4 linked regions of the Stegostoma tigrinum genome follow. The protein of the gene in region 1 interacts with the protein of each later gene in a pairwise test. Links are inferred from orthologs where the notes say so. Each region holds a gene or a part of one and is shown on either strand. Other genes may lie near its edges. The genes, in order: klhl2, cul3b, tma16 and txndc12.

Region 1 (7,865 bases):
TTTCCTTCCCTAAAAAGGAATTAGTGAACCAAATGGGGTTTTCCAACAATTAGACTCTTAATTCTAGATCTTTTAGTGAATTCAAATTCATGGTTTGCCGTGGCAGGATCTGAACTCAGGTCCCCAGAATATTACCTGGGTTCTGAATTATCAGGCCGGTGATAATACCAGTAGGCCATCATCTCCGTTAAGTTGTACTTAGCGCAATAGATGCCATTCACAAAACTCGAATCCTGAAGTAATCTCTATCCATGTGCAGCAAGGCCTAGACAACATACAAGCTGCAGCAACTTTCACACTATCTTTCTAATCAATGACCACCTCCACTTGACATTCTATGGTATTACCATCACTGAATCCCCCACTACTGGCACAAATGTTGACCAGAAACTGAACTGGGCACAGATTCTGTGACTCAATTCTGTGGTAACTAACTCACTCACGTTTTCTCAAAAACCGTCCACCATCTACCAGCCATGAGTGTGGCGCGATACTCCCCATTTGTCTGGATGGGTGAAGATCCATAAAACTCAAAAACCTTGGCACAATCCAGCCCATCCACCACTTTCAACTTTCACAAGAAACAGGTCATCTGGCCCCTTGAGTCTGCTCCACCTGCCTTAAAACATGCAACAACGTAGCCTCAACTGCCTCACTGGACAGGGAATTTCACAGATTCACAACCCTCTGGAAGTCCGTCACCCTCTTTACTATTATTGCAGAGTGGCTGCAGCATGTTCCATCAATGCAGAGCAGCACAACACCCAGACCCCTTTAAGAGCACCTTCCAAACATAAATTCAACCCAGGTAGAAGGGCAAGGGCAGCAGATAAATAGGACCACAACCACCCTGCTAGATCCACCACCCCCGCCCATCCCGATTCAAAACTATATCATCCAGTCCAGTTGCTGGATCGAAAACCTAGTACTCACTTTTTATTCTTAAACCCAAAAATTTGATTAATGGGGGGGGGGGGGGAAGGAGAAGGGGAGGAGGGCACTTCCTTTCCAAAAGCACCTTGGGTGGCCCTACACCGAGGGCTGCTAACACCACTGCCTTTCCAGGGTAATTACAGATCAGGATCCATTTCTTTTATTTGTTCAGGGGATGTCTGGTTGATTTCACTGCTCCAGAAAAACTGAAATAAAATACATTCTTCCAAACAAGCTTCGCAGAATTGTTCTGGAGGAAGGGTCACTGGACCCGAAATTCACAGGCGCTGCCAGACCTGCCGAGCTTTTCCAGCAATTTCTGTTTTAGTTCCTGTGTTTGCAGAATTGTTTCAGACTTCAACGCAACATACCTCTGTCAGAATATTTCATGCAATTGCCCTCACAAAATTAATATGTTCAGACTTGTATTTGTTACAGGCCTCCAATTTACACCTTTGAGGCAGGTTACGGAGGCCCAATCCATTCGAGTTCCAACAATTGGAACAAGGGATGGTGGCAATATGCAAGTGGAGTAATCATCACTCAGCATATACATACATCTACAACCAGGATCAATGCACAGAAATGAAAGAAAAACGAGCCTATGCAGTTTTGCTTCTGTCTAACCAAAAATCACTAAAAAATGACCTGTAGAATTATACCCAAATTGTAAGATTAGTTAACTAGATCTAGAAGTCACACTGCAGGCATTAATGATATACAACACAATATCGTTCATTCACCCACAGAATCAGTCATGGTACCATTATCTGGTTCAGTTGACAGGAAGAAAAGAAAATCAGGCTATAAAACAAATAATCTATAAATTTATCTTTAACACATACCCAAGAAAGGAAAATATAGGCAGCATTTAAAAAAATACACGTAACACAGATATGTTTACAAAGATAATATTAAAAACTGCAATGTCAAATCTAGCATTGACAGTAGGAATTAGGGAAGATCGCATGCTTCAGAATTAGACAGATATGCTTCTTGTCCCTTAATTCGTCACCTCAATTGTTTCCACTAGTTCAGGTGTTATATTGTTCCAGTGTTACTTTCCCTTTACAATTCAAAATCAATAGTACAACTAAAGCATATGCCCACCATTGTGCCATACTGAAATTGAGAATGGATGCTCTGAATGCAGAAGCATTAAAATTTAACACACTAAACAGTGAAATTTTAGTATCAATGCCACAATACATAACTGTCATTTACACAGTTGCTACTGTAAGAGGTGCACTGATCTTCTCCAAAAATATACATTTTCTTGAGTGTTCGTTCTTTATTGTACTCGTGAAACAATTTTACAGCTCGTCCCCCCTGAAATAAAACATAGCTCAACACAATTTCCTACATTTAATACATCTTTCAACCAAAAAAAAAGTGCAACTATATATGCATCAGAATATTCACTACAGAAACAGCTACCGGACATCATGGGCAGGTGCTCAAATCTCTGACCAACGCCCCCCCCAAAAAAAAAACTAAATTATAACACCAACAGACTTATAACTCTTTGACACTTCCCAATTTTCACTTATTTCTACCCTTTTGCATAGAGTTAAATTGCGGCATTGCTAAAATGCTGAAACAACCGCATTGCTATTTGCTATCAAAAACTCCAGCTTGTGCTTCCCTCGACCCCACTTCAGTTCTCCTGGCATTTGTAAAGTCGCTTCTCCACAAATGTGAGCGGGGAGGCTCCAAGCATGACCCAGACCCTCCCTCTCCCCACCCCCGCCCCCGCCCCCGCCCTAAGCCGGGTTGTCCCTCCTGGCCGGAGTTTCCCCCAGCCCTGCCCTGCCCCTGGCTGTGATTGGAGCTAACAGACTCACATTTGCTGTATCTCCATTGTGTCCTCCGCCTGTTGCCGACTGCGCTGAGTGAGCTCGGCGCGCTGCACCATTCCACTCAGAGGCGCGTGGGATGCTTCCCCGTGCTCCGCGCGCGTTCCATTGTCTGTGCTGTTGCCCGGGCGGTCACTGAGGCAGCCGCTGCTCCGACTGTCTCAGCCTGACCCTTAGGGGAAACCAGGGAGGCGGCGCCTGCAAACCATCTCCTCCTCCAATACCCCACAATGCTCCTCTCCTCACCTCCTCCTTCCACCCTCCCCCACTCCCCGAAAGCTTCCAGTTGCCTCCCAATTCCAACTTTTTTTATTCCGCTTCGACTGTCAAAAGTGATATTCTCCAGGTATTGCCGTACCAGGAGCTCCCTCTGGGTTGGAGGACCTGGAAGAAGCAGCCCTAATATGGGAATTGTAGAGGACTGTATGGCATTGTATCCAGAGCCTGCCTCCAGGTTACCTTTGGCAGTGAATGCTGAACTGCGCTTCATATTTAAAACCATGTACTTTAGAACAAACTGCAGGATTTCTGTACTGAAATTACGTGATTCTGCCAGATTTTCTTTTTAAAAATGCATACAGCAATTGCACATCTAAAGTGAAACCAAAACCGCTCGGCATTGTATTCAATTTGTGCAGCATAAGGTTTCGCCCAAAGCACTTTTTTCGTCACTGGGTTGTTGCTGTACGCCGACACTGTTTCCGTAGCAACTATTTTATTGATTCTGTTGACAACAATAACTTGCATTTCTATAGTGCTATTAGAAGAAGTATACTGAAGAAGTATCAATATCTTAGAGGCTTCTAGGGCCATTGGGGTTTCACAGATAAGGGCTAAAGTTACCATGAAGGTGCTGCGTCCCAACCTTGTCTGAGGCATTGTGATCTTTTTAGTGAATATAAGGAGGTCATTAAGATAGTTCTCATAGAATATGAGTTCCCTGATTGGGGCTGTTAATCTGGTCCAATCAGGGAGCCCTGGCTGAAAAATATAACCAGGAGTGTCAGACGTCCTGTTCATTCTGAGGTCTAGTTCTGAGTGTCAAGTACTCTCCACGTGTGAATGAAGAGTGACTTGGTGACGGGACACTGGCCTCTGTGAAGTTATTTCAGTGGCAACAAGAGAAAAAGAAGTGCACCTGAAGAAATTTGTTCACAACATTCATCTTTGATTTGGGATATGCATTTCTGGCATCATGGCATTATGTGGAAAGTTTGACTTGTCGATCCTGCTGTCAAAGACTGAGACCAGTATGTGGAAAGAATGCATTATTTTTTCTGGGAAAATGACATTGAGGCAGGTAAAAAGCAATGAGAAATTCAGCTGACAGCTTCAGAATCTGCAGCTTTATTGTGGATGTGAGTTTGCTCGCTGAGCTGGAAGGTTAGTTTTCAGACGTTTCATCACTTTTTTTTATTTGAAAAAATATACTTTATTCATAGAATGTACAAAAAAAAACATTTATACACCTGCCCAGTCATGCAAGCCGCTCCAGGTTACCCAGGGGCTACGTACACCAACTAAAGGGGAAAAAAAACAAGCAAACAAGAAAAAAAAACAAAGCGAAGAAAATACTCCGGCAGTCGTCTCCCCGCACAGTCCCCGTTGGCCCCGTGACCAGTTGGAGAAGGTGCCAGCTGGGCCCAGTTACCAGATAGGGCCCTTTTTCCTATTCTGGACAAGGGGTTTCAGACGGTGGTCTTTCCCCACCGTGCCTTGGCAGCAGCTGCCCCAAGCTTTACCGCGTCCCTCAGCACGTAGTCCTGGACCTTGGAGTGCGCCCGTCTGCAACACTCGGTCGGGGTCAGTTCTTTCAGCTGGCAGACCAGCAAGTTGCAGGCAGACCAAAGAGCGACTTTCACCGCATTGATGGTCCTCCAGGCACAGTTGATGTTGGTCTCGTTGTGCGTCCCAGGAAACAGCCCGTAGAGCACGGAGTCCCGCGTCACGGAGCTGCTCAGGACGAACCTCGACAAATACCACTGCATCCCCCTCCAGACCTCCTGTGCATAGGCACACTCTACAAGGAGGTGATCGAGAGTCTCGTCCCCCCCACCTCGAGGGCAGCGTGCGGTGGTGCAGAGATTCCGGGCATGCATAAAGGATCTCACTGGCAGAGCCCCTCTCACCGCCAGCCAAGCAATGTCCTTGTACTTGTTTGAAAGTTCTGGCGATGAGGCATTCTGCCAAACGACTTTGGCAGTCTGCGTGGGGAACCACATGATGGGATCCACCCTCTCCTTTTCCCGAAGGGTCTCGAGGATACTATGTGCTGACCACTGCTTGACGGCCTTGTGGTCAAAAGTGTTTCCCTTCAAAAATTTCTCCATGAAGGACAGCTGGTACGGGACAGTCCAACTACTCGGAGCGTTGCGCGGCAACGAGGCCAGGCCCATCCTTCGCAACACCAGGGGCAGGTAGAACCTCAGTAAGTAGTGACACTTGGTGTTTGCGTACTGAGGATCTATGCACAGCTTGATGCAGGCGCACACAAAGGTAGGCATCAGGGCGAGGGTGGCGTTCGGTACGCCCTTTCCTCCATTTTCCAGGTCTTTGTACATGGTGTCGCTGCGGACCCGGTCTATCCTTGACCCCCAAATGAAGTGGAAGATGGCCCGGGTGACCGCAGCGGCGCAGGTCCAGGGAATAGGCCAGGCCTGCGCCACATACAACAATACCGAAAGCTCCTCGCACCTGACAACCAGGTTCTTACCCGCAATGGAGAGGGACCGGATCGTCCACCTGCCCAGCTTCTGCTTCAGTTTGGTGATACACTCCTCCCAAGTCTTAGTGCACGCCCCAGCTCCACCGAACCAAACACCAGCACCTTCAGGTAGTCTGTCCTGACGGTGAAGGGGATGAAGGAGCGGTCGTCCCAGTTCCCAAAGAACATGACCTCGCTCTTACCCCTATTGACTTTGGCACCCGAGGCCAGTTCAAACTGGCCGTAGATGTCCAACAGCCTACTCGCCGACCAACGATCAGTGCAGAAGACGGCGACATCGTCCATGTACAGGGAGGTCTTGACCTGAAGGCCTCCGCTGCCTGGGATAGTCACGCCCTTCAGGCTCACGGCCTTCCTGATGGATGCGGCAAAGGGCTCCACACAGCACACAAACAAGGCCGGAGACAGCGGGCAGCCCTGCCTGACTCCAGATCTGACAGTAGAACTGTCCAATTCCCACCCGTTGATCGAGACTGCGCTAACGATGTTGGTGTAGAGCAGCCGGATCCAATTGCGGATGTCCGCCCCGAACCCCAATTTGGAGAGGACGTCCCTCACGTAAGCATGAGAGACCCTGTCGAAGGCCTTCTCCTGGTCCAGGCTGACAAGGCAGGTGTACACCCACCTGTCCTGCACGTAGGCGATTGTATCCCTGATGAGCGCAAGGCTCTCAGCGATTTTCCTGCCCGGCACAGCACAGGTTTGGTCAGGGTGAATCACCGGCTCCAGGACAGACCTGGCCCGGTTGGCTATGACCTTGGCCAAGATTTTGTAGTCCACGTTCAATAGTGAAATGGGACACCAATTCTTAATTTCTTCCCTGTCCCCCTTCCTCTTGTAAATGTGGGTGATGATGTCCTTCCTCATGGACTTGCACATTTCCCCTGCCCGAAGCGCACTATCATACACCTCCAACAGGTCCTGGCAGACCAGGTCCCACAGAGCGGAATACAGCTCGACCGGTAAGCCGTCGCTCCCGGGAGTCTTATTCCTCTCCAAGGACTTGAGGGCTCTGGTCAGCTCGTCCAGGGATATCAGCCGGTCCAGCCACTCCCTCGTGCCGTCATCTAAGACCTCCGTGACAGACAACAGGAACGATTCAGAGGCCGTGCTGTCCGTGGGCTTCGTGTCGTACAGCCCGGCATAGAAGGATCTGCTGATCCTCAAAATGTCGGGCCGAGACGACGTCACCGAGCCGTCGTCCTCCTTCAGCCGGCTAAGCACAGAGCTCTCTTTGTGCACCTTCTGAAAGAAGAAACGCGAGCACATCTTGTCCTGCTCCACGGAGCGGACCCTGGACCGGAAGATTATCCTGGAGGCCTCCGCAGCAAAAAGCGAGGCTTGCTGGCCCCTCACCTTGCGGAGGTCCTCCGTGACATCGACCCTCATCAACTGCAGAAGGAGCAGGTTCTGCACCCTTTTCTGGAGTCGCGACAGCTTTCCCCGCCTTTCTCACCTTCCAAACACCCTTGAGGACAAAGAACCTCTTGATGTTCTCCTTCACCGTCTCCCACCAGTCGCCCGGAGGCTCAAAGAGGGGTTTCACGGTTCTCCAACCGGCGTGCTCCCTCTTAAGCTCCTCGCCGTTCTCTGGGGTCAACAGAGTCGTGTTGAGCTTCCACGTCCTCTTGCCGGCCTGCTGGTCGTCCTGTAAGTGACAGTCGGCCAGCAGGAGGCAGTGGTCGGAGAAGAACACCAGCTCGACGCCGGTGGACCTGACCGAGAACGCCCGCGACACAAACAGGAAGTCTATCCTTGAGCGGATAGAGCCGTCTGGCCGTGACCAGGTGCATCTCCGCTGCGCTCCATCTGCAGGGGTGCTGAAGACGTTGAGCAGCTTGGCGTCCTTCACCATGCCCATCAGGAATCTGGACATGACGTCCAGTTGACTCCCCCCACCCGCTGTCCCCACGCCGGATCTTCCATCTTCATCAATGATGCGGTTGAAGTCTCCGCCTAGGATGACCGTCCTGGACGTAGCCAGCAGGGGTGGCAGCCGCTGCAGGACGGCCAACCGCTCACTCCATACCGCTGGGGCGTACACGTTGATCAGCCTGAGGGGAACGTTCCTGTAGGTTACATCAGCCACTAGGAGGCGCCCCCCCCACCACCTCCTGAACTTGAGAGATGGTGAAGTTGCGCCCCCGCAGCAGAATAGCCAGGCCCGAGGAGCGACAGTCGTTACCCGCCGACCAGATTGAAGGCCCACAGGTCCAGGCGCCGGACCATTTCCCGTACCTGCTGAGGTGCGGTATCCCGCACTCCTGCAGAAACAGTAGGTCCGCCTTGACAGTGGTCAGGTAGGCCAACGTGGACACACATCTTGCAGTAGACTTGACGCTGCGCACATT
Region 2 (7,678 bases), on another chromosome or scaffold:
TAATCATGCTTACAAGAATGAAATCTGATCGGAATGCATCAAGTTCTGTTCAGCAATGTTACATTCCCCTATTATGAGCCTTTTTACCCACCCGTATTGTGTCTATCATCCTGTTCAGTGTTGATAGAAAAAAATTGAAATGCTCTTCGTAATTTTAGGTAACTGCCAATCAGGTTAACCATGTTGTAAATAATTCAGTATTCATGCTACACCCCATTTAAATCAAAAACCTCTAGCACTAACTGAGTGGTCTTGGCAATGCTGCAAATACAATTGTCTGAATTTCACTTTAAAGCTATTTTTACAAATGGATCAACGTAGCCAAACAATGTATTTCAAAGTGTCTTTTTTCACACCATTAAAATGCATATTCTACATTAAAATGACAATCATGTGCAAACTGATTCTAAAACTGACCAACAACTGTTCCATTACGAAGATGTAAATTTTCTGCAGGGGGCCTTTATTTCTAGTTGGCATTAAATTCGATGAATGTGATTTTGCAAATGATACAGTACAATAGTAGTATAGTTAGAGAAGGCAGCTGAATCAGTAAAACAATAACTATATAATTAATTGTAGTAACTAACATTGTTTAGTCATTTCAATATAAACACCAATACAGCATGATCTCATTTACTTCTGAAACATTTATGATACTGAAACTGAATTTTTGTTTTTAAAAAGATATCCTGATAGTACAACAGATGGTAACTCAGAACTCAAAGTGGTAATGAGCAAGTAATGATCACCAATTCATAGAGGATCTCAAATCACTGCTGTAGGAAATGGGCAATGCAGGCAGCAGTAAATACCTACTGTTACCCCACAACACTGGGAGAAGCCATGAGTATGCTAACTAATGATCCTCAACTGACCAGAAAATGAACAATGTGGGTGCAGGTATTCTGTTTTTATATATGGAAGATATCATAAGCCAAACCAAAACTAAAAAAAAATATAGTTTTTGCACTTCAGCTTTTCATTTTACAATCCAATCTTTCAGTTGTGCTTTGATTAAACACAGCTGAATTAGTTTTTGGACATCTTGAACTACACTGCAAAGGGTTCCTATGGGAAGCACCTGCTGGTAGAAGTACAGAACTTAGTGAGTAGGCCCCTGTTCAATATCTCTAATGTCCATTTTCACAAACATATCAGCTAAACAGCAATCTTGGCTTTGCTCTACAGTTACTCCTGAGCACATGACAGAAGTAATAGAATTAAAGTAATTTACATTGGCAATACACCACATAATTCTATCCTTTTAATTTTTCAAATTACGGTCAGTGATCTTTACACCATTTAAAAAATAACTTTAGTTAGCTTAGGAGAATTTTTTGAAAGTACAAAATTGGTTAGTACCGTTTAATTCCACTCTGTTTAGTAATTAACAAAGTTGATGTCTTTCAGCAAATATACCATACAAAGAACATCCATAAAGTAACATACCAATTTCAGAATTATATACAGATCAGCAGTGTCAAAATGTTACAGAAGTTGCATAAAAAACAGTATGACGAACGCTTGGCACAAATTATTTTAATTGAACATGTTCCGCTAGTAAACTTGAAACTGTGAACAAACGTTATGCTGTAACCTTGTGCCTACGAAACTCTCAGTGTATGAACTTTAACAGTAACTTCTACATAGGAAGTGCTCCTTGTCCCGCTTATACAGAAGTTGTTTCACATGTTGAATGTGTTATTCTTCCAGGTAGAAGGCAATCACCGCACAATTTCAAATTCATTTGAGGGGAGGGGATAAAACACTTGCTATCTAGTTTGCCCTGCTTAAAAATTTATTAATACTGTTATCCTTTGCAAAATATTTTCAAGCAGTTAAGTGCTGTTTGAACAGTTTCAAACTTTCACCAGTAGTTGCAAAAATATATTTGAGCTTACTACATATGTATTTCATATGATATACAGCAAATCTGCTGGAAATGATTCGAGCATTTCTTTCAAGGTTTTCAACTCACTAAGGTCAATTCTGAAGGAGACATTCTTCTCACCTTTCAACTTATGCATATTGCAAAAGATAGAGAACCAAATATTCCACCAGGCGTTGGTGTACCAGTCCAGTCACAAAGCTCTTACCAATTAAGTTTTCAGAGCATAACCCAAGTTATTGTGACCACAAATCTAAGTATTCAGTAGTGAACCAGTCCATGTCACAGACCACCTAAAGAGTGTTTCAACTTGACTGAAAACACAGTAAATACTTAACATTCCACACTACCATTCCATCACTTTCAAAAGAAAGCTAAAAATATCCGAAGTTGTGAAACTATTTCAGAAAACGTAAGCCGCACCTTACAACTTATTACCTAGTGTTTCAATATGTCAGAACCAATAATATTCTACAGATTTTTTTGGGGAGGGGGCTGATGGCGAGAGAAAGATGGAGGAAGTGAATTAAAAAATGACAACATAACACAGCGCTTTGTGTTCCTGAATGGGGGAGGTCATCACAACAAACAGCCAAGGATTAAAACAGCCTCTCTGTTTGGCCTTCACGGAGCACCATGAATATTAATCAAACGATAAGGGGCCTGCTCCTGTGTTGACATCCGTAGAAGCCCGGGCCCTCGATTTGAAGCATTCGCAGCCTCTCTGTCCCCGTGCGGCGCATTTCCTTTCATTTGTTCTGTTAAATTGCGGCTACGGGGTCATTACTTACGGGAAACGCTCGTATCCTCATCTTGGTGTCTTTCTTCGTCCCAGCTTTGCCCAGGTTTGACATGTTGGCGGATGATTTCTTTCACATAGGACTCACTTACAGGGGAGGAGAGAAAAAGAAAAGGGGGAGTGGAAGTTCCGATAAAAGACCGAGCTACAATTAAACCTCTCGATTAGACGGGATCCACGGCCAGTGATTCGGGTTGATCTGACCCCCTTCAAGTGAGAGGCAGCAGGACCTTCGACCATGAAACAATTTTTAATATCAAAAAAAATCTGTTGGAAAATACCAGCCCGGCTCTATGGCGGCCGAAACCTTCAGTGCGCAGGTCAGTCGACAGTCCGATATCGCGAGAGCTCGGCCCTGTACTCGCAGGGAGAACACGAGACTGACGTCCGCAGCAGTGACGCGTCAGGCTCTGTCAATCAACCTAGGAACTGTCAATCAATCTGCAGCTGTCAATCAACCTGGGAACTGTCAATCAACCTGCAGCTGTGAATCGACCTGAGAACTGGTCAATCACTGCAGCTGTGAATCAATCCGAGAATTCTCAATCACTGCAGCTGTGAATGAACCTGTCACTGTATATCAACCTGGGGAACTGTCAATCACTCTGCAGCTGTTAGTCAACCTGTCACTGTCAAGCAACCTGGGAGCTATAAATTGCTATGGAGCTGTCAATCAACTTGTATCTGTCAATCAATCTGGGACCTGTCAATCATTCGGCAGCCATCAATCATCCCTGGAACTGTCAATCACTCGGCAGCTGTAAATCGCCCTTGGCCTATCAGTTACCCAGGATTTGTCAATCACCTGGAGTTTTCAATCAAACCCAGAGCTGTCAGTAATTCACAGAGTTGTCAACCACCCAAGGAACTGTCAATCAGTCCACATGCTTTCAATCACATTGTGAGCTGCCAACCATTCTGTGAGCTGCCAACTACCCAGGGAGCAGTCAATCACCAGAAGCTGGGAACATCACTCACTCTAGGAACTGTCAGTTACCCAGGGGCTGTCATTCACCCTGTGAGCCATGAATCATTCAGGAACTGTCAATCACTCTTGGACTTGTCATTTACCCAGGGAGCTGGCAATGTGATTAATGCAGTGATCAAAGACTCGAATAGTTTCACACTGCTGCAATCCTGTCAACCCACTAGGAACTGTGAAAAACCTAGCCAACCGTTAAACGCGAACTGTAAATTCGCCCCACAAGCTGCCAATCTTCCTAAGAGCTGTTAATCTCCCAGAAATTTGTCAATCGCCCACAATCCGGTGTGTTGTAGATCCTCTAGGGAGTTGTCAACCAACTAGGAGCTAATAATCATCCTGGGAACTGTCGATCATTGGCAAAGATCTCAGTTATCTAGGCTACAGTCGATCATAAGTTATGTCGTATTCACCTTTGAAACAGTGAATCACGTCAAGAGCTGTCAATATCCCTGAAAGCTGCCAGTAACCTGAGGAGTTGTTAATCATCCAGAAGGCTTTTAGTCAACAAGGGTGCTGTGAATTACCTCAAGAGCTATCAGTTATCTGGGACTCTATAATTAACCAGGAAGCTGGTAATCACTCCAAAAGCTGTCAACCACCCTGTGACCTGAAAGTCTTCATGGGAGCTGTTAGTTGCCCCATGAGCTGTCAATCACTTCAAAGTCCGTCAATCACTTGGGAGGATTAAATGACCTAGGAGCTGGCAATAGTTCAATGGGGGTAGTCAGTTGTGTTGAAAGTTGTCAATTACCCAGGGAGCTGAATTAACACAAGGAGTATCAATCATGTAGAGAGCAGCCAACAATCCAGAAACTGTTAATCACTGTAAAACCTGTCAATAGCCTGCTCACTGACGCTCATGAACAAAAACAAATTTCTGGAAAACTCAGCAGGTATGGCAGAATGAATATTTTGGGACCAGCCACACTTCTTCAGAACTTATTGTAGCTGGGAGGGAGTTGTTACATATGCTGATTATGGGGTGGAAGGAGGGGATCTGTCTGCAGAAATGACTCTGAGCTCTCACTAACTCTGACTTCTCTCCACAGATGCTGCCAGATCTGCTGAGATTTTCCAGCAATTTCTGTTTTTGTTTCTGATTTCTAGCATCTGCCGTTCTTTTGGTTTTTTGGTTTAGTGAGCTTTCGGTTGTCTGCCACTTCCACACACCACTATGTTTTGTCGCTAACATCTCTGTCTCGGGTTTGCTGCAGAGCTCCACAGAAGCTCAACACAAGCTGTAAGAACAGCACCTTATTTTCCACTTTGGAACCCTACAGCCTATGGACTCGATACCGAATTCAACAATTTTGGGGCTTGAGCACCTTCCCCTTGACCTTATTTCCAACCCCACACACCAGACCTTGTTATTACATGGGCTGCTGCCAAAAACAAACCATTGTCAGCCACTAAGAGTCCCCATTAGCAGCTGCTAATTCTCCTAGGTTGACCTGTACCCATGTTTTTGTCTGCACAACTGTTTTTCTCTCTCTCTGGTCTCCACCTCTGCCTATCCCTTACTCCAACCCCCTTCCCCCACCCCCTCTCCATAGATCCTGTACAGTCAGTTCTGAAGAAGGGTCATTGGATCTGAAATGTTAAAATTCTACATTTGCTCCACATACATTGCCAGTCCTGCTGAGTTTTTCCAGCAATTACTTGTTTTTGTTTCTGATTTCCAGCATCCACAGTTCTTTGTTTTTTTTTCACTGATCATCAGTTTGGGCTCTGCTAGGACCACTCAGTTCCTTACCTTATTATAGCATTAGTTCAAATGTGGACAAAACAGCTAAATTCTAGAGATGACGCGAGAGTGATTACCCTTGATGTCAAGTCTGCAATTTTACCAAGTTTCACATCAAGGAGCTCCATCAAATCTGTAGTCAGTAGAAATCACAATTGTGAGGGGAATCTCTTTGCGGGTTCAAGTAATATCTGTACCAAAGGACAATGTTTGGGATGTTGGAGGTCAGTCAACTCAGTTCCAGGATATCTCTGCAGGTATTCTTCAGGGGAATGTCCTAGGCTGAATCAATTTCAGCTGCTTCATCAATGACCTTCTCTCTGTCATAAGGTCAAAGTGGAATGTTTACTGATAGTTGAACAATCTTCGGGCACTATTTGCAACTCCTCGAATACTGAAGCAATTGACATCTAAATGCAGCAAATCCTGGACAATATCTAGGTTTGGACTAAAATGTGGCAAGTAACTGCCAGGCAATGACCATTTCCAATAAGAGAGGATCTTACCATTGCTTCATGAAATTCAATAGCATTACTGTCATTTATCTCTCCATTCTAAAAATCTTGGGGATTAACATTGACCAGAAAATGAACTGGACACTCCACACAAATAATGTGACTACACAAGCAGGTAAGCAGCTAGGAATCCTGCAACAATAACTCAACTCTTGATTCCCCAAAGCCTGCCTGCCATCTACAATCCACAATTCCTGGGTGTGCTGGAATACTCTCCGCTTGCATGCATGAGTGCAGCTCCAACAACACTCAAGAAGCTTAACACTATCCAGAACAAAGTGGCTTGCTTGATTGGCACCACATTCACAAACATTAACCCTGTCTACCACTGATGCACAGTAGCAGCAAGCAGTATGAACTGTTTACAAGATGCACCACAGAAATTTACCAAGGCTCCCTTGAGAGCAGCTTCAAACCCATGCCAACTTCCATACAGAAGGACAAGGCGACAAGTGCACAGGAACACCAGCTCCTGCAAGCTTCCCTCCAAAAGCATTCACAATTCTAACTTGGGAACATATAATTGTACGTTCAGTGTCACCAAGTGGAAGCCCTGGAACTTTCTCCCTTAGGGTATTGTGGTTTGACCCCACCAAATAAGTTGCAGAAGTTTAAGGAGGCAGCTCACCACCCTTCTCAAGGGCAAATAGAGATGGGCAATAAATGATAGCCCAGTGGACATCACCGACATCCCATGAATGAATAAAAACATCACTCACACATTCCATTTTGGGTGTAATCAATCCTGAGCATCATTCCCCTGGGGAAATGCCAATATCACATCAAGTGCTGTAAAAATCCTTGAGTGCAGCCAATCATCCAACAGTGTCCTGTTTCTGTAGCATAGTGGGTATCACATTCACTTTACATGCAAATGAATCCCGGTTTGAAACCAGGAAAGAGCATTTGTGTAGAAAACTGAATGCTGATTTACCCTCTCTTTCAATCACCCAGAGGACTGTCAATCAACTGATAAGCTGTAAATTAGCTCACGAGATGTCAATTACCTTGAAATGGATCATTAAAAAGGAAACTGTTAGTTACCCCGACAACTGTCAACGACAACTAAAGCTGTCAGTTATCCTGAGTGTTGCCAACTGCTGAGGAGTTGTCATAACTATGGTGAGCTGTTAATTTTCCTGTGAGCTGTCAGTCACCTGGGAAATTGTCAATCAGCTAGGATGCTGTTAATGACCCAGCAGCTGTCAATTATCTGGGGAGTTGTCAAACTAATCATGCAGAGATCTGTCAATCACTAGTGCTATCACTACTCAGGAAGCTGTCAATCAAACCAAAAGTTGCCGAACATGCCGACAGCAGTCAGTAACCCAGAAGCTGTCCATCACAAGGAGGGCTGTCGATCTCCATGAGACCTGGCAACCATTCATACAGCTGTCAATCAGACAGTGTGCAGACAATCATGTCAATAATTCAGGGAGCTGGCAGTCTCATTGAGAGCATCAATCTTCCTAAGAGTTGCCAATCACCCAAGAAGTTGTCAGTCATGCATGGAGCTGTTATTAATGGGAAATTTTGATCAGTCAGAGAGATTTTAAACATTTCTAGAGCAGTCAACCACCCAGAAGCTGTCAACCATCTGGGGTACCAGCCACTGTCAATCACCCAGTGAGACACAACTGTCAATCAGCCGAGATGCTGCTGCTGCTGTTGTTATCATCCCTCAAATTGTTGAATTTGGGAGTTGCTGCCATGGTTTTTCATGTGATGGAACAGATTATCTTTC
Region 3 (7,504 bases), about 12 Mb from region 1:
GCCAAATACAACAAGGGTGCTTCTGAAATGACAAACTTCTTCCTCAACCAAGGATTCCTAAGCACTTTTGTTGACAGGGCCCTCAGCCAGGTCCAACGTATCTCTCACATTTTGGCCCATACCCCCCTCTTCCCTCCTGCAGCAGCATTAAGGTCCCCCTTGTCCTCTCCTACCATCCCACCAGCATTCACATCCATTAGCCACCATTTCCATCAGCTCCAGCAAGGTGCCACCACCAGGCCCATATTCCCCTTCACGCAATCTCGTCTACTTCATTCAATGCTCACAATGTGATATCATCTACATTGTGGAAATGAATCTTTGATGGGTGACCACTTGGCAAAACATCTACATGCTGCAGGCAATTCAGACCTTAAGCTTCCAATTGTCTGCCATTCCAATACACCACCCAACTCCTTGCTGCAACCCCACACATCCGACCTTGTTAACACATAGTCGGCGATTACACACAATCCACTGTGAACCACGAACAGTCTCCATTCACCTTCTAGCCAGATCATTATCCATTCCTTTGTCTGTCCAACTTTGGCCTCGATCCTCACTCATTGTTTATTCTTTATCCCCTTCCCCAAACCCTATCCTCTGCATACAAACTGATATTTTCCTAGCTACCACCAGTTCTGAGGAAGGGTTACTTGAATTGAAATGTTATCTCTGATTTCTCTCCACAAGATGTTACCAGACTTGCTGAGCTTTTCCAGCAATTTCTGGTTTTGATCCTGTGTGCAGTTCTGGTTGGCAGACTATAAGGAGGATGTGATTACCCTTAAGATTCACCAGGATGTTGCTTGGACTAAACTGAATCAGCTATGAAGAGACTAGATAGGGTGGGGTTGTTTTTCTTGGAGCAGATGAGGCTGGGATGTGGGATCTGATTGAGAAGTACAGAATTGAGGGTAGATGAGCAGAAACATTGCACAGGGTTAATGACCAAAGCCACAGTTTTAAGATAAAGAGCCGAGGAATCACAGAGGTTTTTAAGAAAGATTTTTTTTTCCATACACAAGGCAGTGTAAATCTGAAACTCACTGCCTGAAATGAGTGCCAGAGGTAGGAACCTTCAGAGTGTTTCAGTTATTAAGCTGAACACTAGAATCACTGAGGCATTACAAGCTTACAAGCCAAATACTAGAAAATCGGAATAGAACAGAGATTGATATATTTGGGTCCTCTTTTAGTTGTTATTTATATGAATTATTTGGATGAGAAGGCATGGTTAGTAAGTTTGCGGATGACACCAACATTGCTGTCAAAAACAGAAGTTGCTGGAAAAGCTCGGCAGGTCAACTGGAATCGGTGAGGAGGAATCAGAGTTAACGGTTCAGGTCTGGTGACCCTTGCTCAGAACAGAAGAGGAGCTCGGAGGGTCACCAGACCCAAAACGTTACCTCTGATTTCTCTTCACAAATGCTGCCAGACTTGCTGAGCATTTCCAGCAACTTCTGTTTTTGTTTTTGATTTACAGCATCTGCAATAACAAAGTGTAGAAGCTGGATGAACACAGCAGGCCAAGCAGCATCAGAGAAGCAAGAAAGCCAGCGTTTCGGGCCTAGACCCTTCTTCAGAAAAATTTTTCAGCCTGAAACGCCAGCTTTCTTGCTTCTCTGATGCTGCTTGGCCTGCTGTGTTCATCCAGCTCTACACCTTGTTATCTCAGATTCTCCAACATCTGCAGTTCCTACTACCTCTCTACACTATCTCCAGTCCTTTTGGTTTTTATCAATCCACATGGTGGCATTGTGCAGTGAAGGATGTTTGCTATGATTACAAAGGGGCCTTGATCAAAATGGGGCAATAGGCTGCAAAATAGCAGATGAATTTCAATCTGGGTAAATGCGAGGTACTGCATTTTGGTACAACAAACAAGGGTTAGGTTTATGCAATTAATGGTAGGGCCTTGGGGTTGAGTTGTAGAACAGAGTAACCCAAGGGTTCAGGTAAATAATTATTTGAAGTTTGCATCACATATAGACAGGATGGTTAAAAAGGCATTTAACACACTTGCCCTCATTGCTCAGTCCTTAGAGTATAGGAGTTGGGAAGTCATACAGGTCATTCATTGGTGATGCCTTTTCTGGAGTACTGTGTCCAGTTCAGGTTGCCCAGTTATAGGAAGGATATTATTAAGGTGGAGTGGGTTTAGAAGAGATTTACCAGGATGTTGCTGGGTATAGAAGGTATGAGTTGTAAAGAAAGGCTGGATAAACTGAGACATTTCCCACTGGAGTGTATGAAGTTGAGAGGTGACCTTCTAGGTAGTGTAGATAGGGCTAATAGCAAGTTTGTTTTCCCCTAACGTCAGGATTTAAAGCGTGAAGGCACATTTTCAAGGAGAAAGGAGAGATTTTAATAAAAGGCCTGAGGGGCTTTTTTTTACAAAGGGTAGTTCACGTGTGGAATGAACTTCCTAAGTGGTGGATGTGGGTACAATAACAACGTTTAAAAAACATTTGGATACGTACATGAATAGGAAATCTTTGGAGGGATATGGGCCTGGAGAACGCATTTGGAACTAGTTTAGATTAGGATTACATAAAGCATAATGGACCGAAGGGTCTGTTTCCGTGCTGTTTGATTTGAGAACAATCTTCACGGACAAGATGGGTCGAAAGACGTCTTTCTGCTGTTTAAAAGCTCGAGACTATACTCAAAGTCATGAGGAGTCAGCGCATAGTAGAAAGAAAAACTATTTATAGTGGTGGAAGGATCACGATCCAAAACAGTAAAAATATGGGGAAAATCTTTTCCACGGAGCGCACAGTCAGGATTGGCACGTACTGGTGGAGGAAGGTCAACTGAAATGTTGAAAGTTAATTCAACTCAGCACGAAATTTGAGGCGCCTCAAAGGAACACAGATAGCCGACCAGCCGTACAAACGCACTCACCATTTTGAAGCCGTTCACGCTACATCCACCGGAAAGAACTCAGTGCACTCCCTTCTCGTCGTCCCCCTACCCGTTCAATATCAACAGCAGATTAGAGGGTTCCGGAATGGCACCGGCGCATGCGCAGTATTGAGAGAGTAAAGAAACTTGAAGTACCGGTAAGCGGGCCTGGGCATATTATGGTGGGGAATGAAGAAAAGGGTAGCTAAAGACAGGGAGGATGAGGTGAGGTGGCAGACCGGGAAAAAATGGGTTAACACTGGAGCTGGAGGAGCACGGCAGGCCTGACAGCACGAAAGCAGACGTTTTCTGAAGAAGATAATAAAATGTGAGGCTGGATGAACACAGCAGGCCAAGCAGCATCTCAGGAGTTGTGCTCCTGAGATGCTGCTTGGCCTGCTGTGTTCATCCAGCCTCACATTTTATTATCTTGGAATTCTCCAGCATCTGCAGTTCCCATTATCTCTGATACTGTTTTCTGAAGAAGGGTCTCGACCCGAAACGTCAGCTTTCCTGCTCCTCTGCTGCCTGGCATGCTGTGTTCGTCCAGCTCCACACTGTTATATCTGACTCCAGCATCGGCAGTTCTTACTATCTCATGGGAAGTGGGGAGATAGGATGAAGAGAGTGAAAGGAAGTGGGGAGGGGGAAGGGACAGGGCGATGTAAGGAAGGATTGGAGGGGAGAGGGAGGAATGAGAGGATGAATGTAAGGAAGAGAGTGGTGAAAGGAAGGAGGGGACAGCAGAAAGTGGAGAGGAAGAGAAAAAGATGGCAAGACAAAGCAGTGGGATGAAGGCTAAGGAGAGTAAGAGAAAGGAAAGGGGTTATGAAAGAACGTAGAAGGGAGAACAAAGAATGAAGAAAATTTCAGCACAGGAGCATGCATTTCGGCCCTCCAAGCCTGCACCAATCCAGATCCACTACCTAAACCTGTTGCCTATTTTTCCAAGGATCTGTATCCATCTGCACCCTGCCCCATTTATGTATCTGTCTAGATACATTTTAAATTACGCTATCGTGCCCGCCTCTACCACCTCCACTGCACCCTCTCCAAAGCATCCACATCCTATTGGTAATGTGGCGACCAGAACTGCACATAGTATTTCCAAATGTGGTCGAGCCAAAGTCCTGTACAACTGTAATATGACCTGCCAACTTTTGTACTCAATACCCCGTCCGATGAATGAAAGCATGCCGTATGCCTTCTTGACCACTCGATTGATCTGCATTGCCACCTTCAGAGTACAATGGACCCGAACACCCAGATATCTTCGTGCATCAATTTTCCCCAAGGTTTTTCCATTTACCGTTTAGTTTGGTCTTGATTTGGATCTTCCAAAATGCATCACCTCGCATTTACCTGGATTGAACTCAATCTGGCATTTCTCTGCCCAACTCTCCAAGCTATCTATATTCCGCTGCATTCTCCGACATCCTCTTCACTATCTGCTAGTCCACCAATCTTAGTGTCACCTGGAGCTAAGGAATGGGGATGGAAAGATGAGGAAGGAAGGAGTGGGGGTGAGGAAGGATTTGGCACAAAAGAAGGAAGGAGCATGGGAAGGGTGAGAAGGCGAGAGGATGGAGAATCAAGGTGCACTGTGACAATGAGGAATGGGATGAGGAGATACTGCAAGAGGAAGAGAAATGGCGAGGAGGAGAGTAAAGAAAGGTAAGGAAATGGGGGAAGGAGGAGGAGGAGGGATGGGGCAGGGTGAGGAAAAGGAAGGAAAAAGAATGTAGGGAGGAAATATTAGAGAGGGCAAGGATAAGAAAAGGCTGGTAAGGAATAATGAGGGGAGGGAATAAAGGAATAGTTTAAGGGGAGGAAAGAGGGTAAGGGAGGAAGAGGTGGAGAAATGACAAGGGCATGTAGGTAGGAGGAACGATCATAATCATTATCATAGACTCCCTACGGTGTGGAAATAGGGCCTTTGGCCCAACAAGTCCACACCGACCCTTGGAACATCCCACCAAGACCCATCCACCATAACCCACCTAATCTGCACATCCACCATAACCCACCTAATCTGCACATCCCTGAACACTAAAGGCAATTTAGCATGGCCAGACCACCTAGCCTGCAAATCTTACATTGTGGGAGGAAATCAGAGCACTTGGAGGAAATCCATGCATACACGGGGAGAATGTGCAAAATCCGCACAAACAGTTGCCCAATGGTGAAATCGAACCCGGGTCCCTGTCGCTGTGAGGCTGCAATGCTAACTACTGATCCACTGTGCAAAGAGGGAATGTGCTAGATTGGACAGGTAAGGGGAGTTAGGTAGAGGATGATAGCTGAAGGGGAGGAGAGAGTTTAACGTGGATCGGGAAATGGGAAGGCCTACAAGGGTGGTTGAGGAAGAGATAAGGACTGGAAGATCAGTGGGTGAAAAGACGAGGGTGAGGAGAGGTATAAAAAGAAGGAAGAGCAGAGGGATATTAGGGGAATGGAAAAGAGGCAAAAGAGATGAGGGGTGGATGTAGGACAGGTGGAAAGGGGTAAAGGAGAGAGAGAAAGTGGAGATAGCAGAGAATTTGCGGGGACTGCTCTGTGGACATGGGAAAGGAGAAAGCTGTTCTGCCCTGGGGTGAAGGAGGATCTGTACTCTTCAAAACAATTGCTTATCTTTCATTTAAACTCTTTTATGTCTGGTTCCTATTTATTGGGGAAAGAAATGGTCAAAGAATCCCAACAGGACCCAAGCAACAATATAGTATAGAAGGATAGTGTGAGACAGAAAGGTGATTATGAGGCATTTAAAGTTATTACCCTCAACAATGAGAAAAGACAAATGGCAGTAGGAGAGCTGGCTTTGTAAAAGTAGGATATGGAATTTCTGTCTATTTCAGAATGTATGTGAGTGGGAGCGAGGGAGGTTGTGAGGTTAGAGCGCAAACAATTAGAAAGTGTGACTGGAAAAGGTACAAATGGACATATTGTTGACAGTGGGATCAAGAAGAAACATTGGACTGGATTTTTATCTGCTGATGTGGGAAAACTAAAGACATAGAAAGCATCTAATTTGAAATACCAGAGATATTGGGAACTGCGGATGCTGGAGAATCTGAGATAACACAGTGTGGAGCTGGATGAACACAGCAGGCCAAGCAGCATCTTAGGAGCACAAAAGCTGACGTTTCAGGCCTAGACCCTTCATCAGAAAAGGGGGATGGGGAGAGGATTCTGAAATAAATAGGGAGAGAGGGGGAGGCGGACCGAAGATGGTTAAAGGAGCAGATAGGTGGAGAGGAGAGTATGGCGGGTTGGGGTGGGTAGGTAAGGAGGGGGTAGGTCAGTCCGGTGAAGAGGGACAGGTCAAGGGGGCGGGATGAGTTAGTAGATAAGAAGTGGAGGGGCAGCTTGAGGTGAGAGGAGGGGACAGGTGAGAGGAAGAACAGGTCAGGCAGGCGGGGACGAGCTGGTCTGGTTTTGGGATGCAGTGGGCGGAGGGGAGATTTTGAAGGTGGTGAAATCTACATTGATACCATTGGGCTGCAGGGTTCGCAAGCGGAATATGAGTCGCTGTTCATACAACCTACGGGTGGCATCATTATGGCACCGCATGAGGCCCACGATGGAAATGTCGTCTAAGGAATGGGAGGGGGAGTGAAATGGTTTGCGACTGGGAGGTGCAGTTGTTTATTGCGAACCAAGCGTAGGTGTTCTGCAAAACGGTCCTCAAGCCTCCGTTTTGTTTCCCCAATGATACCACACCGGGTACTGTGAATGCAGTATACCACATTGCCGGATGTGCAGGTGAACATCTGCTTGATGTGGAAAGTCATCTTGAGGCCTGGGATAGGTATGAGGGAGGAGGTGTGGGGGCAGGTGTAGCACGTCCTGCAGTTGCAGGGAAAAGTGCCGGGTGTGATGGAGTTAGAGGGGAGTGTGAAGCGGACAAGGGAGTCGCGGACAGAGTGGTCTCTCCGGAAGGCAGAAAAGGGTTGGGTTGGAAAAATGTCTTTAGTGGTGGGGTCGAATTGTAGATGGCGGAAGTGTCAGAGGATGACGCGTTGTATCCAGAGGCTGGTGAGGTGGTATGTGAGGACTAGGGGGATTCTCTTTTGGCGGTTATTGTGGGGGCGGGATGTGAGGGATGAGGTGCGAGAAATGTGGGAGACACGGTGGAGAGCGTTCTCGACCACTGTGGGGGGGATGTTGCGATCCTTGAAGAATGAGGACATTTGGGATGTACGGGAGTGGAATGCCTCATCCTGGGAGCAGATGCAGTGGAGGCGAAGGAATTGGGAATAGGGGATGGAATTTTTGCAGGAAGGTGGGTGGGAGGAGGTGTATTCCAGGTAGCTGTGGGAGTCGATGGGCTTGAAATGGACATCAGTTTGTAGGTGGTAGTCTGAGATGGAGACGGAAAGGTCCAGGAAGGGGAGCGATGGGTTGGAGATGGTCCAGGTGAACTTGAGGTTGGGGTGGAAGGTGTTGGTGAAGTGGACGAACTGTTCGAGCTCCTCTTGGGAGCATGAGGCAGCGCCGATACAATCATCAAAGTAACGGAGGAAGAGGTGGGGTTTAGGGCCAGCGTAGGTGTGAAAGAGGGACTGTTCCACATAACCTACAAAGATGCAGGCATAGC
Region 4 (6,997 bases), on another chromosome or scaffold:
AAATCACATTAAGACATACTGACAAATTTGGCTCTTTGATATTCCAGGAGGAAGCCAGTCAATTGCCAACTAAATATACAAAGTTTAAAATCACAAATTCCAAGTCAGAAGTTGAACAGGAAGTTTCTACTTAGCTTTGCATACCTGGCTTCTGCTTCTTTTTTTCCATCATCCAGTGTTCTCCAGTGAATGTGGTCTCCAAATCCTGAAAAAAGGTTGCCATTCCTATGAATTTCCATCTCTGACAAATTGTTAGAGACAAACGTCGACACCTAAAACCTCATACAATGTTATTTTAATATCTCAATTCAATGGAATTGGATCATTTAAATTTGTTTGGTATTCATTATACACACTACCGTGCGCGTAACGATTGTTTTCTTCATTGGCAATTCTTTAGAGTGTGGGACACTAGAAGACAAAAATGGAAATTAAGTAAACTATTTGCTGCTGGACCTGTTACCTATCAAGGTCTTCACCATTTCCGGTCAACGACTGGGTCCAAATGACAAAAATAGAGGAGTTATAGAACAGAGATAATAAAGTGTGGAGCTGGAAGAACACAGCAGCCCAAGCAGCATCTCAGGAGCACAAAACCTGACGTTTCGGGCCTTGTCCCTTCAACAGAGAGGGGGATGGGGAGAGGGAACTGGAATAAATAGGGAGAGGGGGGGAGGCGGACCGAAGATGGAGAAAAGAAGATAGGTGGACAGGAGAGTATAGGTGGGGAGGTAGGGAGGGGATAGGTCAGTCCAGGGAAGACGGACAGGTCAAGGAGGCGGGATGACGTTAGTAGGTAGGAGATGGAGGTGCGGCTTGAGGTGGGAGGAAGGGATGGGTGAGAGGAAGAACAGGTTAGGGAGTCAGAGACAGGCTGGGCTGGTTTTGGGATGCAGTGGGTGGAGGGGATGAGCTGGGCTGGTTGTGTGATGCAGTGGGGGGAGGGGACAAACTGGGCTGGCTTTGGGATGCAGTGGGGGAAGGGGAGATTTTGCAGCTGGTAAAGTCCACATTGATACCATTGGGCTGCAGGGTTCCCAAGTGGAATATGAGTTGCTGTTCCTGCAACCTTCGGGTGGCATCATTGTGGCACTGCAGGAGGCCCATGATGGACATGTCAGCTAAAGAATGGGAGGGGGAGTTAAAAGGGGGAGGGATCGCAACTGGGACGTGCAGTTGTTTATTATGAACCGAGCGGAGGTGTTCTGCAAAGCGGTCCCCAAGCCTCTGTTTGGTTTCCCCAATGTAGAGGCAGCCACACCGGGTACAATGGATACAGTATACCACATTGGCAGATGTGTAGGTGAACCTCTGCTTAATGTGGAAAGTCATCTTAGGGCCTGGGATGGGGGTGAGGGAGGAGTTGTGGGGGCAAGAATACACCTCCTCCCACCCACCCTGCTGCAAAAATTCCATCCCCTATTCCCAATTCCTCCGCCTCTGCCACATCTGCTCCCAGAATGAGGCATTCAAGGACCACAACTTTCCCCCACACAGTGGTTGAGAATGCCCTTGAGCGCGTCTCCCGCATTTCCCGCAACACATCCCTCACACCCCGCCCCCGCCACAACCACCCAAAGAGGATCCCCCTCGTTCTCGCACACCATCCCACCAACCTCCGGATACAACGCATCGTCCTCCAACACTTCCGCCATCTACAATCCGACCCCACCACCCAAGACATTTTTCCATCCCCATCCTTGTCTGCCTTTCGGAGAGACCACTCTCTCCGTCACTCCCTTGTTCGCTCCACACTGCCCTCCAACCCCAACACACCTGGCACCTTCCCCTGCAACCGCAGGAAGTGCTACACTTGCCCACACACCTCCTCCCTCACCCCCATCCCAGGCCCCAACATGACTTTCCACATTAAGCAGAGGTTCACCTGCACATCTGCCAATGTGGTACACTGTATCCACTGTACCCGGTGTGGCTTCCTCTACATTGGGGAAACCAAGCAGAGGCTTGGGGACTGCTTTGCAGAATACCTCCGCTGGGTTCGCAATAAACAACTGCACCTCCCAGTCGCAAACCATTTTAACTCCCCCTCCTATTCTTTAGATGACATGTCCATCATGGGCCTCCTGCAGTGCCGCAATGCTGCCACCCGAAGGTTGCAGGAACAGCAACTCACATTCTGCTTGGGAACCCTGCAGCCCAACGGTATCAATGTGGACTTCACCAGCTTCAAAATCTCCCCTTCCCCCACCGCATCCCGAAGCCAGCCCAGTTTGTCCCCTACCCCCACTGCATCACACAACCAGACCAGCTCATGCCCTGCCTCCACTACATCCCAAAACCAGTCCAACCTGTCTCTGCCTCCCTAACCTGTTCTTCCTCTCACCCATCCCTTCCTCCCACCTCAAGCCGCGCCTCCCTAACCTGTTCTTCCTCTCACCCATCCCTTCCTCCCACCTCAAGCCGCACGTCCATTTCTTACCTACTAACCTCATCCCACCTCCTTAACCTGTCCGTCTTCCCCTGGACTGACCTATCCCCCTCCCTACCTCCCCCCACCTATACTCTCCTCTCCATCTTCGGTCCGCCTCCCACTCTCTCCCTATTTATTCCAGTTCCCTCTCCCCATCCCCCTCTCTGATGAAGGGTCTAGGCCCGAAACGTCAGCTTTTGTGCTCCTGAGATGCTGCTTGGCCTGCTGTGTTCATCCAGCCTCACATTTTATTATCTTGGATTCTCCAGCATCTGCAGTTCCCATTATTTCTGAGTTCTAGATCAGAATGACTAATCAAATGCGAGAAAGATTGACAGAGGTAACGGATTAGCCATAGACACACGATTTTTTGCGTTTCCACGGTTTTCAATTAAACCACATCAAAGCCATCGTTTAAATAAAACAAATATAAACTAACCCACCTCTTCCAAGACTTTCGCTCCCATATGTTTGAAAGCAGATCAGAAGAATGTTAAGGAGGACGAGATACAGGTACCTTTGCAGCTTCATTATCGGCTCTGACCCTCTCGCCAGTAACTCAAGGAAAGTAGAAGCTCAGAGGAAGTGACGCATTAGCAGTTCTTACTATTTCTGACGCATCAGAACGCCGTGTAACCCATTCTGTTCGGAATCGTGCCGCGGAGTCTTTTGCGGATATGCAAGCCTTCAGTTCAACGCATCGTCCAAATGGTAACATCTCAAGATATACATGTACTGTACAAGAATTAGTTAATAAATTCTATCGGAAGGTGCTTCGCTCGTGAGATATTTACTTGATATGCACAAATCTCCGCATGGTAATATTTAGCAACATATTAAAATAAGCAACTTGTTTTTACACGGTCACTTTAACGTAAAATATCCAAAGTACAGCCACCAATGGTGGAACAATTAAGATCAAGATGATCCAGAGACCTGGTCGCGCTGTATGGGATTCAGCAAGTCAGAAGATTGTGCGTGCAAGGCCCACTCCAGGTCTAAACAAAAGCGTGAGACTGGATGGGCTACCCAGCAACTACTTAGGCATGGACATGACAACATAAAAACCAGCGTTGTCAATCCTGCAAAATCCTCTTTACTGAGGTCCAGGGGTATGTGCCAAAACTGGGAATGCTGTCCCACAGCAGTGAAGCAGCATCTTCACCTGAAGTACTCTCAGAATCATACCTTATAGACAATATTCCAGATGCCACTGTCAACGTGCCTGGATATATCCTGTCCTACTGACAGAACAGACTCACCAGAAGTGAAAACAATGGAAAGAGTTGCCCTCTGGCAGTCCTCAAGATTGACTCTGTACCCCATGAAGTCTCTTGACATCAGACCAAACATGAGCAAGGAAACAGCCTTCTGATTACCACCAACTAACCCCACACCTTCTTCAGCACTCCTCTGCTAATGAATGAGTACTCCTTTATGCTGAAAACTAATTGCCACTTGAAAGGAAGCATTGAGAGTGACAATGGCACAGAATATATTCTCAGTCAATTGCTAAAGGTGATTTGGTGGCAGCACCATTACTCAAGCTGGCTGAGTCCTGAAGAATATTACAGACAGACTGGGTCTGCGGTACGTGGTGGAGGAACTAACAGGAGGAAATAAACTACCTAACCTCATCTTCACCAATATAGATTTTTCCCCATCCTATCTGACATTAAAAACTGTAATGTGAAACCTGATCTTCACCAACTTGCCTGTTGCAGGTGTCCATAATGACAATAATGGTGGGAGTGACCACAGTCATGCTAGAAACAAAAGTGGCTACGTTCACATTATGGATATATTACACTGTATTGTGTAAAACTCATATTATGCTCAATAGGACAGATTTCTAGTGACTCAGAACTAAACACATTAGAACTATGCTGTGGGCCATCAACAGCCACAATTTGTAATCTCATAACTAGGAAAATCCCTCACTCACTGTTACCATTAAACCAGGAGATTAATTCTGCTACAAAGAAGAGGGCAGGCAGACTCACCAGGACCAGCACCTGGCTAATTTAAAAACGAAGTCTCAAAGTGTGAAGCTATAACACAAAACACCCCACCCACACCTTCTCCACCTATCTTCTTTACTCTCCATCTTTGGTCCGCCTCCCCCTCTCTCCCTATTTATTCCAGTTCCCTCCCCCCATCCCCCTCTCTGATGAAGGGTCTAGGCCCGAAACGTCAGCTTTTGTGCTCCTGAGATGCTGCTTGGCCTGCTGTGTTCATCCAGCCTCACATTTTATTATCTTGGAATCTCCAGCATCTGCAGTTCCCATTATCTCTGATACTATTTTAACCTCACTGCGAAGCCTCTTCCAGGGATGCCTAACCTGAAGAAGTTACCCTCCTCCCTCCGGACCAACCTCAGGGAATCTCTCTCCCATTGACCTGTCCGTCTTCCCTGGACTGACCTATCCCCTCCCTACCTCCCCACCCACACCTTCTCCACCTATCTTCTTTACTCTCCATCTTCGGTCCGCCTCCCCCTCTCTCCCTATTTATTCCAGTTCCCTCCCCCCATCCCCCTCTCTGATGAAGGGTCTAGGCCCGAAACGTCAGCTTTTGTGCTCCTGAGATGCTGCTTGGCCTGCTGTGTTCATCCAGCCTCACATTTTATTATCATTAAACTACAAATAGCAGTAGTAGCAAGAATTTACAGTTAAGAGGGCCACAAATTAGATCAGATCTGACACCAGAATCCGAGGACAGGCCAAACAGTCAAGCATGGGAATTCCTCGAGGCCTGGTTCTCTACCAAGAAGATCATCAACAAACACATAGAACTCGACCCTATATTCACGGACCACTGCAAAGGAAAACCAGAAATGAGGTATTCAAATCCAACGGACGCCAGAGTTTAAATACCAGGTGGGAAAACACAACAGCACTTCATTGGAGGCTGCACTGATGATGTTACCCAGCAGGGTAATGAAATGTGTGCGAACTAACGAAACAGCTCAGTCGGCAAACCAACCACAGCATCCACAACCCAAGCAACAAATCTACTCAAGAACCTTAGAGTACTGTATGAAATTAAAAAGGCAGAATTAAAGGCATTGTGTCTGAATACATGCAGATTCACATCAAAGTTGACAATTTGAAAGCACAAATAGAAGTAAATGAGAATGATTTAATTGCCATTAAGGTATTGTGACTGTCGGGTTATAAAATATGGGAAAGGAATCAGATCACCCTGAAGCTCATTGAATGGCAGATCAAGCTCAAGGGGGCAGGTGGCCTACTCCTATTTCATACGTTGGACGAACACAGCAGGCCAAGCAGCATCTCAGGAGCACAAAAGCTGACGTTTCGGGCCTAGACCCTTCATCAGAGAGGGGGATGGGGGGAGGGAACTGGAATAAATAGGGAGAGAGGGGGAGGCGGACCGAAGATGGAGAGTAAAGAAGATAGGTGGAGAGGGTGTAGGTGGGGAGGTAGGGAGGGGATAGGTCAGTCCAGGGAAGACGGACAGGTCAAGGAGGTGGGATGAGATTAGTAGCTGGGGGTGCGGCTTGGGGTGGGAGGAAGGGATGGGTGAGAGGAAGAACGGGTTAGGGAGGCAGAGACAGGTTGGACTGGTTTTGGGATGCAGTGGGTGGGGGGGAAGAGCTGGGCTGGTTGTGTGGTGCAGTGGGGGGAGGGGATGAACTGGGCTGGTTTAGGGATGCAGTAGGGGAAGGGGAGATTTTGAAACTGGTGAAGTCCACATTGATACCATATGGCTGCAGGGTTCCCAGGCGGAATATGAGTTGCTGTTCCTGCAACCTTCGGGTGGCATCATTGTGGCAGTGCAGGAGGCCCATGATGGACATGTCATCAAGAGAATGGGAGGGGGAGTGGAAATGGTTTGCGACTGGGAGGTGCAGTTGTTTGTTGCGAACTGAGCGGAGGTGTTCTGCAAAGCGGTCCCCAAGCCTCCGCTTGGTTTCCCCAATGTAGAGGAAGCCGCACCGGGTACAGTGGATGCAGTATACCACATTGGCAGATGTGCAGGTGAACCTCTGCTTAATGTGGAATGTCATCTTGAGGCCTGGGATGGGGGTGAGGGAGGAGGTGTGGGGACAAGTGTAGCATTTCCTGCGGTTGCAGGGGAAGGTGCCGGGTGTGGTGGGGTTGGAGGGCAGTGTGGAGCGAACAAGGGAGTCACGGAGAGAGTGGTCTCTCCGGAAAGCAGACAGGGGAGGGGATGGAAAAATGTCTTGGGTGGTGGGGTCGGATTGTAAATGGCGGAAGTGTCGGAGGATAATGCGTTGTATCCGGAGGTTGGTAGGGTGGTGTGTGAGAACGAGGGGGATCCTCTTGGGGCGGTTGTGGCGGGGGCGGGGTGTGAGGGATGTGTCGCGGGAAATGGGGGAGACGCGGTCAAGGGCGTTCTCGATCACCGTGGGGGGAAAGTTGCGGTCCTTAAAGAACTTGGACATCTGGGATGTGCGGGAGTGGAATGTCTTATTGTGGGAGCAGATGCGGCGGAGGCGGAGGAATTGGGAATAGGGGATGTAATTTTTGCAGGAGGGTGGGTGGGAGGAGGTAGCTGTGGGAGTCGGTGGGCTTGAAA

Evidence for each region.
Region 2: the proteins of klhl2 (region 1) and cul3b interact in binary tests that used the Homo sapiens proteins (3 or more experiments, as listed by UniProt). The two-hybrid records come from large-scale screens. The link is inferred for Stegostoma tigrinum from reciprocal best matches to the Homo sapiens genes KLHL2 and CUL3.
Region 3: the proteins of klhl2 (region 1) and tma16 interact in binary tests that used the Homo sapiens proteins (3 or more experiments, as listed by UniProt). The two-hybrid records come from large-scale screens. The link is inferred for Stegostoma tigrinum from reciprocal best matches to the Homo sapiens genes KLHL2 and TMA16.
Region 4: the proteins of klhl2 (region 1) and txndc12 interact in binary tests that used the Homo sapiens proteins (3 or more experiments, as listed by UniProt). The two-hybrid records come from large-scale screens. The link is inferred for Stegostoma tigrinum from reciprocal best matches to the Homo sapiens genes KLHL2 and TXNDC12.

What each region holds. Positions count from the first base shown.
Region 1 is NC_081354.1:56,995,468-57,003,332, reverse strand, and holds the start of klhl2 (kelch-like protein 2), read right to left. Parts: upstream 3,013-7,865; 5' UTR 2,849-3,012; coding exon 2,778-2,848; intron 1-2,777. UniProt on the Homo sapiens protein: Substrate-specific adapter of a BCR (BTB-CUL3-RBX1) E3 ubiquitin ligase complex that mediates the ubiquitination of target proteins, such as NPTXR, WNK1, WNK3 and WNK4, leading most often to their proteasomal degradation.
Region 2 is NC_081367.1:24,434,287-24,441,964, forward strand, and holds the start of cul3b (cullin-3b), read right to left. Parts: upstream 3,016-7,678; 5' UTR 2,746-3,015; coding exon 2,683-2,745; intron 1-2,682. UniProt on the Homo sapiens protein: Core component of multiple cullin-RING-based BCR (BTB-CUL3-RBX1) E3 ubiquitin-protein ligase complexes which mediate the ubiquitination and subsequent proteasomal degradation of target proteins.
Region 3 is NC_081354.1:44,928,162-44,935,665, reverse strand, and holds the start of tma16 (translation machinery-associated protein 16), read right to left. Parts: upstream 3,012-7,504; 5' UTR 2,911-3,011; coding exon of another isoform or gene 2,908-2,910; intron 1-2,907. UniProt on the Homo sapiens protein: Involved in the biogenesis of the 60S ribosomal subunit in the nucleus.
Region 4 is NC_081361.1:64,051,311-64,058,307, forward strand, and holds the start of txndc12 (thioredoxin domain-containing protein 12), read right to left. Parts: upstream 3,019-6,997; 5' UTR 2,963-3,018; coding exon 2,875-2,962; intron 206-2,874; coding exon 145-205; intron 1-144. UniProt on the Homo sapiens protein: Protein-disulfide reductase of the endoplasmic reticulum that promotes disulfide bond formation in client proteins through its thiol-disulfide oxidase activity.